2 linked regions of the Saccharomyces cerevisiae S288C genome follow. Changing the gene in region 1 together with any one later gene gives a genetic interaction. Each region holds a gene or a part of one and is shown on either strand. Other genes may lie near its edges.

Region 1 (4,907 bases):
ATTAAAATACTCACAGATGGCCAACGATGAAGCTGAAAGTTTTAGGAATACTTGGCTACTATTTCGCTCGTTCCAACAATGGATAACTTTAACACAAACTCTTAAGGAGCAGTCAAGGTTAGCAGATCAGGCCTTTTTGAATAAGATGTTTAGGAAAATTTTAAAGGCACAAGAGCATTGGAAACACTTAGAAACTGTTAACACTGACAACATTAAGAAGATATTTTTACGAACAACATTTCATATATGGAAGCTAAGACATAAAGAAATAAACTACCACGGGTTGGAAAGAAGGATTTTCGAAAGAATAAAACAGAAAGTTATAAACTATGAATACAATAAGAGCATTGCAGAAAAAGTGAGGTCGTTTTCTCTACAAAGAAAATATCTGAATAAATGGGAAAAGAAAAACATTGAAAACGAAGATAAACTTGGGGCACTTTATGAACTGGAGAATAAATTCATCAAACAAAAGTTTTTTCGCAAATTAAACCGGTCATTTCAACATAGTCAACAAGAGGCAATTGCAAAGAGTAAACTAAATCAGACACTTTTGAGGTGCGTTTTTGAGAAGATGTGGCTGAAAAGATTCGAAGACCATCTGCATTTGTATTCAATTGTAAGTCTAAAAGAGGCTAACCTCGTGAAGCGTATTTTTCATTCATGGAAAAAACTTCTATATATTGACCTCAAAGCAAGCGATTATTCGAGGACTAATTTGCTCAAGTCATCATTGCGAAGTTGGAAACTTGAAGTAAAGTTAAAAATATTTGAGCAGAAATGTAAAAAGAGTATTCAAGCAAGCGCGTATCGTACATGGAGGAAAAGAATACAGTATGGGAAAATATCGAGCGAACATGTTAAAACGGCATTTTGTGCAAAATATCTTGGTGTGTGGAAAAGGAGGATGCTACAAATGAATTCTATGAATGACGAAGCATCCAAATTTTACGAAGAGGGTCTCGTAAATGAGTGTCTAGCTATATGGAAAGAACGCCTGATTAAAACTAAGGAATTGGAGGATAGATACAATTTCTTATGTAAGACACATGCAATTTTGACTGTAAAACGGACGCTAATGCATATTGATAATGTTCATTTGCTATATACGAAACTGGCGCCCTCTATGGATAGAGTAAAGCTTTCTAAGGCCTTTTTAAAGTGGCGGAAAGCCACAAGGTTCAAAGTCAGGCATAAGTTAAACGATATTTTACACGTTTATGAAAAGAGTAAAGAGCGCGAACTTCAAAGCCAACTGTTCAACGCTTGGCGAAATAGATTTTGCTTCTACACAGAAGAATGTAACATTCAGGCTATTTCAAAGAGAAACTACCAGCTTGAAAAAATGGTGCTGAAGAAATTTAGAGAAAGACTTTTAGAGATAGTAAAATCAGAAGAATTAGCAGACGAAGTTCGCGAAGAATTTGTGTTAGTCAAGACGTTTTATATTTGGAAAACTCATCTAGACGAAATATTTTATATGAGTACATTATTGGAACAATCGGAAGCTAATAAACAATTCATAATTACATCCAAATTCTTGAAAATGTGGAGTCTTCGATTCCTAAAAATTAAGCGTAATGATGAGACAGTCGAGGTGTTTCGTCATCGGTGGGACAGGGCCACTGTAAGGGGATTGTTATTATTATGGAAAAATCGTTCAGACAGTTCTCCAAAGAGAAGGAAGGACTTCAATCTTAAACATGAACTAAAAACTCCCATAAGATCAGACTCTCAAAACGCCTCAACCATACCAGGCTCAGAAAGAATAAAGCAGCACAGAATGGAAGCGATGAAGTCGCATTATAGCAGGGCAAGAAGAGCCATACCAAGTCCGGTGAAATCTTCCAGTGTTCTTGATTCTACAGCTAAAAAACAGATCAACCTTGAAAGTACGACAGGCTTAAACGGATCTCCGACGCGAGGAAAACCTCTAAGGTATTCTCCTAGGCGTACCACTAGAAACATGCCATCCAAAGTTGACCATATTGATTTTGGCAGAATACCCGCTGTACCTTTTAGCCTAAGCGCCAATTCTCCTAAAATCGATCAAGATATGGATTATATAAGAGAGCATGATAAATCCCCGTTAAGTCGTAAACGTCAATAGATATATATATTATGTACGTATGTATGTGTGCATATGTAGTCGTAACCTTTCTTGCTTCTGAGATGCATACAATTACTAATAATATTCTCCAGGTCTATGAAAACATCACAACATACTATACTTTTCGTGTTCGCGTTGTAAGCTATAATGGAAAATGGACGCCATAACGCATTACTTAACAAACTACAGTTTGTCAATAGAGTTGTCCAGTAGAGTTAAAAGGTCAATTCAACCGGTCTTCAATAAGACATGTCACTGAATGACTTCCTAAGTTCCGTGCTACCTGTCAGTGAACAATTTGAATACTTATCGTTGCAATCTATTCCGTTAGAAACCCATGCTGTCGTAACCCCAAATAAGGACGACAAAAGGGTCCCAAAAAGCACGATCAAGACTCAACACTTCTTTAGTCTATTTCACCAAGGAAAAGTTTTTTTTTCATTAGAAGTGTATGTGTATGTCACGCTTTGGGATGAAGCAGATGCCGAACGGTTAATATTTGTATCAAAGGCAGACACTAATGGTTATTGTAATACGAGGGTAAGCGTTAGAGATATTACAAAAATAATATTAGAATTTATATTATCAATCGACCCGAATTACTATCTTCAAAAAGTAAAACCGGCAATAAGATCATATAAGAAGATATCCCCCGAGCTGATTAGCGCAGCCAGTACGCCAGCAAGAACTTTAAGGATTTTGGCTAGAAGGCTTAAACAGTCAGGCAGCACCGTTTTGAAAGAAATAGAATCTCCACGTTTTCAACAAGATCTTTATCTCTCATTCACCTGTCCTCGTGAGATTTTGACCAAAATTTGTTTATTTACTAGACCTGCATCCCAGTACCTCTTCCCAGATTCTTCAAAAAACAGCAAAAAGCATATACTAAATGGCGAGGAACTAATGAAATGGTGGGGCTTTATTTTGGATAGATTACTAATTGAATGCTTTCAAAATGATACACAAGCAAAATTAAGGATACCGGGCGAAGATCCTGCTCGAGTAAGATCATACCTAAGAGGGATGAAATATCCACTATGGCAAGTGGGTGATATATTTACCTCTAAAGAAAATTCTCTTGCGGTATATAATATTCCATTATTCCCAGACGATCCTAAGGCTAGATTTATACACCAATTGGCAGAGGAAGATCGCCTCCTCAAAGTAAGCTTATCATCCTTCTGGATTGAACTACAAGAGCGTCAAGAGTTCAAATTAAGTGTCACATCATCTGTAATGGGTATTTCGGGATACTCTCTTGCCACTCCATCTTTATTTCCATCTAGTGCCGATGTTATTGTACCGAAGTCAAGGAAGCAGTTTAGGGCAATCAAGAAGTACATTACTGGAGAGGAATACGATACAGAGGAAGGCGCAATAGAAGCTTTCACCAATATTCGTGATTTTCTATTGCTCAGAATGGCAACAAATCTTCAATCTTTAACAGGGAAGAGGGAGCATCGGGAGAGAAATCAGCCGGTTCCTGCAAGCAACATCAACACGTTGGCGATAACAATGCTAAAACCGCGTAAAAAAGCTAAAGCCTTGCCTAAAACTTGATACATATTGATATTTATTATTTAGTACACGTATGTAGCATCGATCTTAGAAAATGCATGTTTGTATTTATTGTTAGTACCTTGATCGCCACCTTTCTAGGTAATGATAGGTCCTCAACTTTTACTACGCGGTGCACGCCTGTAAGGTCGGGCAAAACAAAGTGTGGGAACAATAAATAAGAGGGTAGGATGAAATATTACCTTTACTCTACTGCTCAGGTTGGCCACAATTTGCTAAAGAGTTTATCATTAAGTAGCTACCAGCGAATCTAAATACGACGGATAAAGAATGGCTAGTTTAGAAGATCTTATTCCTACTGTCAACAAGCTGCAGGATGTTATGTACGACTCCGGGATCGATACACTCGATTTGCCCATTTTAGCTGTTGTTGGGTCACAATCCTCCGGGAAATCCTCGATATTGGAAACGTTAGTTGGAAGAGATTTTTTACCTAGGGGTACTGGTATTGTCACAAGAAGACCGTTAGTTCTTCAACTTAATAACATATCTCCAAATTCTCCTCTAATAGAGGAAGATGATAACTCAGTTAATCCACATGATGAAGTTACAAAAATATCAGGATTCGAAGCTGGTACGAAGCCCTTGGAGTATAGGGGCAAGGAAAGAAATCATGCAGATGAGTGGGGGGAATTCCTGCATATACCAGGAAAACGGTTTTATGATTTCGACGATATCAAAAGAGAAATCGAAAACGAAACAGCGAGGATAGCCGGTAAGGATAAGGGCATCAGTAAGATTCCGATTAATTTGAAAGTGTTTTCCCCTCATGTTTTGAATCTAACGCTAGTAGATTTGCCTGGGATTACAAAGGTTCCTATTGGGGAACAACCACCTGATATTGAAAAGCAAATCAAGAATTTGATCCTAGACTATATAGCCACTCCAAATTGTTTAATCTTGGCCGTCTCTCCAGCTAACGTTGATCTTGTTAATTCTGAATCCTTAAAGTTGGCCAGAGAGGTAGACCCTCAGGGCAAAAGGACTATTGGTGTCATTACCAAATTAGATTTGATGGATTCTGGGACTAATGCTCTAGATATCTTGTCTGGAAAAATGTATCCTCTGAAATTGGGGTTTGTTGGTGTAGTGAATCGCTCGCAACAGGATATTCAATTGAACAAAACCGTTGAAGAATCATTGGACAAAGAAGAGGACTATTTCAGGAAACATCCAGTCTACAGAACTATTTCAACAAAGTGTGGTACGCGTTATTTAG
Region 2 (3,263 bases), on another chromosome or scaffold:
AACTCCTGGTGTGATTAGTGGTAGAAATGTTCGATAGTTCTATCGAACGAGTGACTCTGGAACTATGCTTCCATATAACTCTTAGCATTATGTGTGGCTGTAGTATCTACTTTCTGCTTCTTGTGTTTATTCTAACTTTTTATTCGTCGGTTTTGTTACATCTTAAATTGTATTTCTTTAGTTCTGACCGAGCCATATTTAATGCATAGAAGATTAATAAAGAAAACATGAAAATCATAAATAATTAAAAGTAACTGGACGAACAAAAGATTTTACGTGAGACAGACAAAAAAAATTAACACCAGCAGTATATGTATATATGTACATCGTATATGAATATGCCATTTCAACAAATTGGATATGGTTGTATGTTTGGCTTTTTCTTTTCCTGGATTCCGGCTGTCAAATACTACTACGAATAGAGTCAGAACAGGCTTTTCTGTCCCTTCCTCCTATTGTTTCCTTTGCTCTGTCCGTGGCTACTCTCATCTTTTTCTATTCTAAGAGAATTTCCATCTGTTACCACATGCTTCACATGTACAGAAAGTGGTCAATGGTTCATCCGCAGATCTTGTTTGCAATTGATAGTAAGATACCTTCTTCTCTTTACATTTACCACATGTAAATCTATCGGTGACTGACCTTTCTATGGTGGCACCCTGTGCGTTGTATAAGTTTTGCTTGGCAATTTCTTCTATCTTTTGCTTTAAGGGCGCTGGTGCCAGATCCTTGGCATCGCATGTAGCTAAGAATTCAGGTGTTATATCACCGTTGGCAATTTTATGTTTGAGATCTGGGTTATTCTTTGATATGACGTTTGAATAAATTATACGATACCTGGCTTTGTAAGCGGCTTCGTTGGTGTCACAGTTGTTAACTTTATTCATTTCACTTTCTATGGCCTTTGCAGTATGCAAAATAGATTGAGGTGGATGCTCACTTTCCTTGGCCAAAACGTCGTAGAGTGCTTTTAGTACCTGATCACGTAATTTGTGGTGGTATATAGCTGTATCCACACCATCGTTCTTACTATTTCTTGGTTTAGTGCTGACGTACTTGTCTTGTTTCATGGCATCTGACTGGGAGGAGGCCGGCTGTTGAACACCATTCACGGACTCACCTACAGTTGTCTTGTCCTCTGCATTGCCTGGCGCATGATCTTGATGATGCTGCTGTGCTTGCCTGGAACGCTTATTTTTATTAATTGCGTCTTTCCAAGAGCTAATCATTTTCTTCACGAGTTTGCTGATCTCTACATTAGTGGATTTTTTAAACTTGTTGACTTCCACACCAACTTTTGTTTCTCTCAGTAACTTTTCAGTGGGGACGAATTCTTTATCCAAGACATGTAAGATTTCTAGAACTGCAGCATCATTACTTTTGTTCTTTTCTAGATTCTTAACATGTACCAGTACTTCCTTACTATCCATGATGAATGCTCTTATGCGGACTGACTACACTGTGAATGTTCTGCTGCTTGAGTAATTTTTCATTCAATATTTTTCAATACGTAGTCCCATCATCGAGTGATCACTTGGTCATATCAGCACAGTGGGGCGGGTAAGAGTTGAAAATTTCCCTATAATGAAATTGGATATTATATATCAAAAAGGCGTTGTCATTCGAAGCATCGTTTCAAAAGAAGGTCCGTAAAGTTAAGGTGGGCTAGTGAAGTATCTCATAATTGTTACAATCACCATAAGAGAAATCTTGCGTTTAGAATTTCCTAAGAGAACCGAGTCACTTCTAGCACTTGCTTTAAACAGAAACACTTGTAATAATTGTTAGAGGGATATACAAGAAAGGCTATATACCAATAGCATCACATAGACACGTTAATTATCAATACATTGAAAGAAAAGACGAAAACGATAAAATGAATAGGCAGAGCGGTGTGAATGCGGGGGTACAGAACAACCCACCATCCCGAGTGGTGTATCTGGGTTCTATACCATACGATCAAACAGAGGAGCAGATACTTGATTTATGTAGTAATGTTGGGCCCGTGATCAATTTGAAAATGATGTTCGACCCCCAAACTGGTAGGTCGAAAGGGTACGCGTTTATTGAATTTAGAGATTTAGAGTCCAGTGCCAGCGCAGTACGTAATTTGAATGGATACCAATTAGGCTCTAGGTTTTTGAAATGCGGTTACTCCAGCAATAGTGATATATCGGGAGTTTCACAACAGCAACAACAACAGTACAACAACATTAATGGGAACAATAACAACAATGGAAATAATAATAATAATAGTAATGGGCCGGACTTTCAAAACAGCGGAAATGCCAATTTTCTAAGTCAAAAGTTTCCAGAATTGCCCTCTGGTATCGACGTTAACATAAACATGACCACCCCTGCTATGATGATATCGAGCGAACTAGCTAAAAAACCGAAAGAGGTGCAGTTGAAATTTTTACAAAAATTCCAAGAATGGACAAGAGCGCATCCTGAAGATGCTGTTTCGCTATTAGAGCTGTGTCCACAGTTGAGTTTTGTTACGGCTGAATTATTGCTAACGAATGGGATATGTAAAGTGGATGATTTGATCCCGTTAGCTTCCAGGCCGCAAGAAGAGGCATCGGCTACGAATAACAATAGCGTGAACGAGGTGGTGGATCCAGCTGTGCTTAACAAACAGAAAGAACTACTGAAACAGGTGTTACAACTGAATGACAGTCAAATTTCTATCTTGCCCGATGATGAAAGGATGGCTATTTGGGACTTAAAACAAAAAGCATTAAGGGGAGAATTTGGTGCATTTTGAAACTAGGGAGGCAAAAATACAAAAAAAAAATGCGGTTCCGCAATGATGAGGCAACAATCTATCATATTTTCCACGTGAGGGAGCTCAAAGTTCGGTATATAGCTTACATCTCAATATCACAATCACTTTTTTTTTTGACGTCTTTATAAATATAGAATAACGTTTACGTTACTGCTATTTTTTCGTTTCTTATCTCAGTTTGCCTGAGGACGGCTATAGTTTTAATCATTAAACGTATATTAAGTACACATGAACATATATAAATCTCAGGTTTGTGCATGCTTCGATTTTTTTTTTCTATGTTAATGTCATGGATCATTACGTGGCTGGGATAGTGGAAATATGCAAACATGATTAAGGCGCCTAGTTCCAACACGGCGCAAGCTGCGAGTATATGACTTGTTACCTGCACTTTTTAATAGTCATCACAAGGGGGAGGATCGCTTTCTAACTGTTGTAGTCTTTTTTGTTCAAGTTCTTGTTTGTCTTCCGACGG

The links. Genes that interact genetically often act in the same process or in processes that back each other up.
Region 2: mutations in RTT109 (region 1) and DST1 together harm fitness more than expected from each alone (negative genetic interaction), as found in Saccharomyces cerevisiae (5 studies listed by BioGRID, with this or other methods).

The regions. Positions count from the first base shown.
Region 1 is NC_001144.5:143,932-148,838, forward strand, and holds RTT109 (H3 histone acetyltransferase RTT109), read left to right. Parts: upstream 1-2,359; coding exon 2,360-3,670; downstream 3,671-4,907. Other genes in the region: SFI1 (Sfi1p), read left to right, coding at 1-2,110; dynamin-related GTPase DNM1, read left to right, coding at 3,959-4,907. UniProt on the Saccharomyces cerevisiae protein: Histone chaperone-dependent acetylase that modifies 'Lys-9', 'Lys-14', 'Lys-23', 'Lys-27', and 'Lys-56' on histone H3 (H3K9Ac, H3K14Ac and H3K23Ac, H3K27Ac, and H3K56Ac) to promote nucleosome assembly, genomic stability, DNA repair and transcriptional regulation during mitotic S-phase.
Region 2 is NC_001139.9:415,650-418,912, reverse strand, and holds DST1 (transcription elongation factor DST1), read right to left. Parts: upstream 1,431-3,263; coding exon 501-1,430; downstream 1-500. Other genes in the region: DPC13 (Dpc13p), read right to left, coding at 1-88; YGL041C-B (uncharacterized protein), read left to right, coding at 27-209; RNA15 (Rna15p), read left to right, coding at 1,877-2,767; RIM8 (Rim8p), read right to left, coding at 3,183-3,263. UniProt on the Saccharomyces cerevisiae protein: Necessary for efficient RNA polymerase II transcription elongation past template-encoded arresting sites.